Coturnix japonica: one gene and its partner. The protein of the gene in region 1 purifies or fractionates together with the protein of each later gene. This does not show direct contact. Links are inferred from orthologs where the notes say so. Each region holds a gene or a part of one and is shown on either strand. Other genes may lie near its edges. The genes, in order: cyclin-dependent kinases regulatory subunit 1 and CCNA2.

What was found.
Region 2: the proteins of cyclin-dependent kinases regulatory subunit 1 (region 1) and CCNA2 purify together in Homo sapiens (affinity purification with western blotting; 7 studies listed by BioGRID and IntAct, counting the BioPlex papers as one, with this or other methods). This does not show direct contact. The link is inferred for Coturnix japonica from reciprocal best matches to the Homo sapiens genes CKS1B and CCNA2.

The regions. Positions count from the first base shown.
Region 1 is NC_029540.1:1,427,888-1,432,036, reverse strand, and holds cyclin-dependent kinases regulatory subunit 1, read left to right. Parts: upstream 1-1,701; 5' UTR 1,702-1,763; coding exon 1,764-1,822; intron 1,823-2,879; coding exon 2,880-3,007; intron 3,008-3,249; coding exon 3,250-3,302; 3' UTR 3,303-3,563; downstream 3,564-4,149.
Region 2 is NC_029519.1:48,272,121-48,276,516, reverse strand, and holds the start of CCNA2 (cyclin-A2), read right to left. Parts: upstream 3,045-4,396; 5' UTR 3,030-3,044; coding exon 2,895-3,029; intron 2,792-2,894; coding exon 2,575-2,791; intron 2,250-2,574; coding exon 2,137-2,249; intron 1,829-2,136; coding exon 1,605-1,828; intron 1,078-1,604; coding exon 873-1,077; intron 1-872. Other genes in the region: BBS7 (Bardet-Biedl syndrome 7 protein), read right to left, coding at 3,670-3,806, 4,323-4,396. UniProt on the Homo sapiens protein: Cyclin which controls both the G1/S and the G2/M transition phases of the cell cycle. Functions through the formation of specific serine/threonine protein kinase holoenzyme complexes with the cyclin-dependent protein kinases CDK1 or CDK2.

The DNA of each region.
Region 1 (4,149 bases):
GTCCAACCTGGTCTTTAACACCTCCAAGGACGGGGCATCCACAACCTCCCTGGGCAGCCTGTTCCAGGGCCTAACCCATTGATATGGAGATCCATGGGGACCCATTGACATGGAGATCTATGGGGACCCATTGACACAGAGATCCATGGGACCCATTGACACGGAGATCCATGGGACCAATTGACACAGAGATCCATGGGACCCATTGACACGGAGATCCATGGGACCCACTGACATGGAGATCCATGGGACCCACTGACATGGAGATCCATGGGACCCACTGACATGGAGATCCATTGGGACCCACTGACATGGAGATCCATGGGGACCCATTGACACAGAGATCCATGGGACCCATTGACACAGAGATCCATGGGACCCATTGACACGGAGATCCATGGCACCCATTGACATGGAGATCCATGGGACACCCATTGACATGGAGATCCATGGGACCCCACTGACATAGAGATCCATGGCACCCATTGACATAGAGATCCATGGCACCCATTGACACGGAGATCCATGGGACCCATTGACACGGAGATCCATGGGACACCCATTGACATGGAGATCCATGGGACCCATTGACATAGAGATCCATGGGACACCCATTCACATAGAGATCCATGTGACCCATTGACACAGAGATCCATGGGATCCATTGACATAGAGATCCATGGGATCTATTGACATAGAGATCCATGGGACCCATTGACATGGAGATCCATTGGGACCCATTGACATGGAGATCCATTGACATAGAGATCCATGGGACCCATTGACATAGAGACCCAGGAACAGCCCATGACGGACAGACATCCATCTGACAGACATCCATTGAAGCCTCAAAGCCGGTGTTTACCCACGGTAACCGGTTCTTTACCCCACTCGGTGCCGGTCCATCTCCGTTATGAGCTCCCCAATTACTATTAGCATTACTAATAGCCCCGGTTACCGGCAGCGGTGACACACACACCTATAACAACACTGGGAGCTCCGGGACTCCCGAACAGCATAGAGGCGATCAGCGGCTCCCCCACAAGCACCGGCAACGCTGTGACCCGTTAATACCCGTTAATATACCCGGTAATACCCGGTAATACCCGGTAATACCCGGTAATACACCCGGTAATACCGGGACCGGACATCCCGGAAGCGCCGTTTCCCATCTCATAACACATAACCCCCGCCATGTTCGGGTTCAACCCAACAACACCGGAAGCTCCACACGACCTCAAGTTGCGGCCTACCCCCACAAACCGGGGCCTACGGAACCACCGGGAACCCCCTAAAGGCCCGGACCGCTCCCACAGGCCCTACAGGCCTCATTACAGCCCCATATGAGGCCCACCCGACCTAAGATGACCCACATGCTCACCGGGGCACCATGGGTCTCACGCCGGTCTCCTCCGGTCCCGGCGGCCTCAGCTCCCAGCACCGAGCGCCCCTCCCCCCGCCACGCCGCCACTCACTTCCGGTCCACGCCCCCCGTCACGTGACGCAAGAACCCTAAAGGAGAATGGGGGGGGGTTGGTGAAAGGGCGTGTCTCTTAGAGCAATCAACCAATCAGCGCGCGAATCGTTAAGCCCGCCTTCTGGGAGCTGACCAATGAGAGCGCGGGGCGGCGGCGTTTGAAAGCACCGTTGAGGGGAACCGGAAGTGGAGGTGGGGGAGGGGGGAAGCAACGGCCGCCGTGGGGTTGAGGAGAGGGGGCGAGGTGGGGGCTGCCGGGAAAGGGGCGGACCGGGAACGGGCGGCAATGGCTCACAAGGAGATCTACTACTCCGACAAGTACTTTGACGAGCAATACGAGTACCGGTGAGGATGATGGGGGGGGGGAATGGGGTTGTTGTTTGATGGGGGGGGGGGTTTGGGTGGGGGGGGCACCGGGTTTGGGCCTAGGCCTGAGGGGGGGGGGGGGAATGGGCCTAGGCCTGAGGGGGGGGGGGGGGGAGCTGGGTCTAGGCCTGAAGAGGGAGGGGGGGCTCCGGGTCTAGGCCTGATGGGGGGGGGGGCACCGGGTTTGGGCCTAGGCCTGAGGTGGGGGGGGGGTAATGGGCCTGGGCCTGATGGGGGGGCACCGGGTTTGGGCCTGAGTGGGGTGGGGGGCACTAGGTCTAGGCCTGAAGGAGGGGGGGGCAAGGGGAGGGAGGGGAGGGAGGGGGGGGTTCCGGGTCTGGGGCCTGATGGTGGGGGGGGGGGAATAGGTTTTGGCCTGGGCCTGATGTGGGGGGGGGGGGGGGGGCACTGGGTCTAGACCTGAAGGGGGAGGGGAGGCGCCGGGTCTAAGCCGAGGGGGGGAGGGAAAGAAGGGAGGGGAGCTCCGGGTTTGGGCCTGATGGGGGCACCGGGTTTGGGTCTGACGGGGGGAGATAGGGTTTGGGCCTGAAGGGGTTGGGGGTAATGGCCTAGGCCTGATGCGGGCTGGGGGGGCTCCGGGTTTGGGCCTAGGCTTGATCGTGGGGGGGGGGCATCGGGTCTGAGTCTGGACCTGAAGAGGGAGGGAAGGGGGACAAGGTTTGCTCCTGAATGGGGAGGGGGCTGCACTGGGTCTGAGCCCGAAGGGGGAGGAGTGTGGGGGGACAGGGACAAGGTCTGGGCGTGATGGGGGGGCACCGGGTCTGAGCCTAGGACTGAAGGGGGAGGGGGATGGGCAGGGGTTTGGGCCTGAGGGAAGAGGAGGGGGGCACCGGGTTTGGGCCCGAAGGGGGAGGGCTGGGCACTGGGTCTGGGCTGGTGGGTGTGGGGTGGGGGTGGGTAACGGGCCTGGGCCTGGACCTGGACCTGATTGGGGGTGGGGGGTAAGCATTGGGTCAGGGCCTGTGGGCGGAGCACTGTGTCACTGCCCCTGGCTGAGCAACCCCTGTGACCACAGGCACGTGATGCTGCCCAAAGACATCGCCAAGCTGGTGCCCAAAACCCACCTGATGTCCGAATCAGAGTGGAGGAACCTGGGTGTGCAGCAGAGCCAGGGCTGGGTGCACTACATGATCCACGAGCCAGGTGAGCCCCCGTATGGCCGCCCTATGAGCCCCCGTATGGCCGCCCTATGAGCCCCATATGGCTGCCCTATGAGCCCCCTATGGCTGCCCTATGAGCCCCCTATGGTTACCCTATGAGCCCCATATGGCTGCCCTATGAGCCCCCTATGGTTACCCTATGAGCCCCATATGGCTGCCCTATGGGACGTGGGCTCCATACCCACAGCCTGGCTTGAATCTGTTCTATATCCTATATCCCCACAGAACCACACATCCTCCTTTTCCGACGGCCGCTGCCTAAGAAGCCAGAGAAGTGAGCTCTCCCCGGGTCAGCCACAGCCCTCGGCTGCCTGGGCTACAAAGCACCTTCATCATCATCATCATCATCATCATCCTCCTCTTCTTCCTCTTCTCTTACATACTCTGCTCTCAGGAGCTTCCCTGTCGGGGGCAGAGCCACTGGGTGCCCCTGATGCTCATGAACTCAGTGCTATCTGGGCACCTGCAGCGGCTCAGCCCCAGGGCACAGCGCTGCGGGGATGGGGTTCTCAAAAGCTTCAATAAAAGGATATTTGGGAGCTGCTGTGTGCTGCAATTCTGCCTTTAAGGGGGGGTGGGAGGCAGGAGGAGCTCCTGGTGCATAGCAACAGCCCTTCCCTGGGTGGTTTTGGGGGCGTGCTATTCCCTCCCCCCCCCCCTCCGTTACCCACCGCCCTATGGACCCTCCCCAACTCCCCCCCCATGGACCTTCCCAACCCCCCCCCATGGACCCTCCCCAACCCCCCCCCCATGGACCCTCCCCACCCCCCCTCCCCCATGGACCCTCTCCAACAGCCTCCCCAAGGGCCCTTCCCAACCCCACCCCCCCCATAGGACCCTCCCCAACCCCCCACTCCCCCAATGGACCCTCCCCCCCGGACCCTCCCAGCCCCCCCCATGGACCTTCCCAACCCACCCTCCCCAGCCCCCCCATTGACCTCTTCCAACCCCACCCCCCCATGGACCCCCCACCTCCCCCCATGGACCCCCCCACCTCCCCCATGGACCCTCCCACCCCCCCCACGGACCCTCCCCAACCCCCCACCACCCCCCACGGACCCTCCCCAACCCCCCCCACCCCCCCCCACGGACCGCCTCCCAACCCCCCCACCCCCCCCCATGGAC
Region 2 (4,396 bases), on another chromosome or scaffold:
CACAATGCAACAAAGACTTCCATGTAGGAACTCTGGTACCTGTGATACAGAACCTTCAGCTGAGACACTGTTTGTGCTCTGCTGAGAAACTGGCCTCTGGATGTAGAGCTCAGCGCTTGTGGAGGGGAAAAATAAAAACCCTTCCTGCCCAAGTGAGAGGGCAGGTGCACGTGTCAATTTTAGACAGGAACACAGGGAATACCTAACAGGGAAACAAACCCCAAACTAAAATGCAGCAGTCTTGGCCTGCTTTGAGTAAGCATTCATGTGGAGCCAGGCCAAGTACCAGACTGTAACAGTAATGGAATGTCTCAAAGAGCAGCAATGACACTATTGCTTCCAGCAGTACAGATCTGCTTCTGGAGGAGCCAGAGGCACATCATGAGCACTTCTCAGATGTGTCCCAGAGAGATCACACACTTGAACATATTAGGAGGTGGAAAAGTCCACTCTAAAAAGCCCTTTACCACTGGTCTGTACAAATACAGCTGTAAGGTGGAATGATACAAAGATGGTAACATTCAAAAGGTTATTTATGAGGAAAAACTCACTGATATGGATGCCTTCACTGGGAAATGCTGAGGCAATCTCCACCAAGGAGCAATCTCCACCAAGGAGCAATCTCCAAGAGATGCTGCCCTAGTGATGGTCAGCCCTTAAATGAGGTCTAGAGAAGGTGGAGTCAAGCTCCATCCCTTCCTGGAGCACAGCTAAATTACTCTCACCTGTGCTCCCACAGCTGCCCCAACACTTGCCTCAGCTGATTAACCAGAGGTTCAGGCTGTGATTACCAATTTCCCATACAACAGCTCTTGTAAAATGCATTAACAACAGAACTCTACAGTTCCACAGACTGAGCTAGTAATCCTTACCATTGATAAGCTCTCAACTTTAGCGTTCGTCTGCTGGTGCAGGAAATACTGAGTGAGGAACTGGTTGATCGTTGGAGCTGCCAAATCAAATGACAAAACCTTCAAAATTAAGTGCTCCATCCTCAGAACTTGCTTCTTGTTGTAGGTGTCATCCGTGATGTAGACAAACTCTGCTACTTCAGGGGGGTAGATTTCCTCAAACTTCCTGCCATGAGAAACAGAAGCAAACAGTTAGGGACTAGAGAACCAGGCCACCAGCAACACTTCATTAAAACCAGTGTGCTGAACTGTGTGCTGACTTCCAAAGTAGCTGGATACAGTGACTGAGCAAGCTTGCTGCACTCAGGTTGATAGGTCTCAAATCACCTGAATTTGAAGTTAAAGAGTTTCAACAGCCTGTTATTTTGGGACTAAGTAATTTAGAACTTAAGAGTTACTGAAATTCCAGAAGAAAACTAAATAGCTTTTTCATACTCTTTCTTACTATTGCCTTAATTCCCTTGTGAAGCCTTTCACTCCTACATCTGGAAATCCTCCCATTAGGCCAATCTACAAAGACAACCTGGAATCTCACTTGCAAGGCTTCACATGGGCTGCCAAGCTTTTGTATATTTCAACCTATTACAAAGCCCTTACTAAACAATATGATTACAGGCTATCATATGAAAGCTACAAGACTTCCATCACTATGAAACCAGTAGGTGTTATTTTCCATCAAGAACTTTTACTTACGATGCGAGCAGCATAGCCGCAGTACCCACAAGCTGGAGCTTTCCTCTCAAAACAGACATTGAAGAAAGAAACCTGTCAATGTAATTTACAGCTAAGTGCAGAGTTTCATTCTGGAGCTTGTACTCTTCTCCAACTTCCACCAGCCAGTCCACCAGAATAGCTCGCATGTTGTTGGTGATGTCAGGCTGCTTCTTCATGTAGCCTATTTTAGGCTTGCATTTTACCTGTGGGTTCAGATGACAGACAAGACTGAGTTTGGATTGGGTGCCTGCAGGGAAGCAGTCACTCATACTCCCATTTACCATACCCAGACTGTTTTTAACAGGTCACAATAAGCAATGGTCAATCTGGACTCAGAAAGTTACATCTGCATCATGTGCTTTGTGGCTTGTGCTCAGTGCAGAGCGCAGCCAACCTCCCAGCAGGAAGCAGGGGGACTTACTCCTAGCTTTACTTCAGTCACTGTGGCAGTAACTTATCCTCAGATACACTCAGCCCAAATATGCGAGCAAGAGAACGGGTGGCATCTCACCTCCATTTCCCTAAGGTACTTGTGGATATCGCTGACATAGTCTGGCACATTGTTAACGTTTGGTCGCTCTTCTGCTTCTGAAGTTATGGAGATATCCATGATACTCGGGGAGTCTAGGAGAAAGGCCTCGTTAGAAGGGGCCCGGCAGAACCCCGTGCAGCAGGCGCGATGCTGTTGGCCGGCGGGAGGCCACGCAGGGGGGCCAAGCAGGCCCTGGGGAAGCCGAACCATGGCTCAAGGAGGAAGCGCCCCGCTGTCCCCACTAAGGAAGGGCCGGGAAGCCCTTTCCCGGCTGCCCAACACACTCCCCCCTTCCCTCCAGCCGAGCCCCGCGCTCCAGCCCCGTTCCTCAGCCTCAGGCCGCGTCCCGCCGCCGGCACCACATCGCGCGGGCCGGGCGCTCGCCCCGGGCGCGGAGGGGGCAGTGCCGCCGCTTACCGAGGCTGAGCTCCATGGCGTTGCCCAGGGGCGCCAGGGGCCGCCGCTCCCCCAAGGTCCCGAGGGCGGCCCGCAGCCCCGGCGCGTCCGCCGCCTCCTCATCCCGCTCCTTCTTCCTCTGAGGCCGCCGCGGCTCCTCGTCGGGCTCGTCCACGTAGACGCTGAAGGGCTGATGCCGCCCCGCCGCCGCGCCTCGGCCCTCTCCGTTCCGCGCCGCCTGCGGGAGCGCTCGGTCAGCGCCGTGACAGCCGCCCTGACAGCTGCACAACGCCCCAACATGGCGCCCGCCCGCCGCCCCCCGCCAAAGCCCCGCCGCTCACCTGCGCACCGAGCCCGAGCCCCGGCCGCGCCGGGCCGCCCCGCAGCAGCCCCAGCGCCACGCGGGTACCGGCGGCGGGCGGCGGGGCTTTGGCGGGCGGGGGGACGTTCTCCTGGTTCTCCTGCTCCGCCAGCATGGTGCCCGCCGGGGGGGGGGAGAAGCGGCCGAGGGGGAAAGGGCCGGGGGCGGCCGCGGAGCGCGGATGTGCGGGTGTGTGCGGGTGTGAGCCGGCGTCCCGCCGCCGCGCAGTCTCGCGGCCCGGAGCCGCTGCCGCCGTTCGAGCAGCCCGCGACTATTGAATCGCCCAATCAGCGGCCAGGCGTCACGCGGGCACCAGCCGCGCGGGGGGCGGGACCGGAGCGCCGCAACGCGCATGCGCAGCGCACACCGCGCGCCGCTTGGCCCCGCCCCGCCCGGTGACCGCGCAGGCGCAGCGCACCACACCACAGCTGGGATTAGAACTTTAATTAGCTTTAATTACAAACTCGCAGCTTCAGGTACAGGATCCTAAACGTACTTTACAAACATCGCTCTTACATTCCTACCCTCTGCATCGTCTCTAACTGTACTGAAAGTACAGGAAAAAGGCCGGTGGATACAGCTGTCTGTGTATATTCAGTGGAGGTGTGAAGATTGCTGTGTGCAGCACTCTATATATATGGAGTGTCCATTCTAATATATATATATATATGAACTCCAGTGCCTACTGCCCTCCCCTGGCAATAGGCAGCACACTCTGCACACACACACTGCACACACTGCCCGTCCTGTCCCGCTCAGGACGCGGCCTCAAAGAAGGCGAGCAGCCGGTCCTGCTCGCAGCCATCCAGCAGCTCCAGCAGCAGAGGAACTTTGCTCTTCACGTTGGTGCCTCGAAATTTAAACTTATCGATGAAGAGATCAGTGATCATACCTGCAAAAGTCAAATGTCTGTTGTCAGTACGACCAGCAACCAGCTTAATTTCCACGTGGTTATTTCTGCCTCACACGTGCCTGTCTCTGAATGGAGGAAGGAGCTGACCTCACAGAGCAGGCCCTGTATGTGAGGACAGGGAGCCCCTGAGCTGAAAGCTGAACAGGGAGCTCTACAGAAGGTTACAGACTTTCCTTCACTCAATTAGTTCCTCTCCTAAGATCCTCCCCTTCCACCCCATGTGCATTTGTCTATTATTTTGTAACACCTCAATGCTGGGAACTCCATCAGTCAGGTATACATACATTCTTAAGCTCCACCCCAACTCACAGCCCTCAGTCTTGCCAAAAAAGACAAGCTTAACGTACAGATGTAAAAAGCTACTGAGGTGTATCAGCCTATCAAATCATCTCAGCTCTACTAGTGCTGACCTCATAACTACTTCAGCAGCATCCAGGTTGCGCTCTCTGAGCGTTAATTTGCAGTTAGGACAAGAAGTTTAATTGATCAACAAACCGTAAAGTCTCTCGAGATGTGCAGGTTGTTTCTTGTATTCCTCCAGCAGCTGATCTGCCTCTTCCAAAATACTG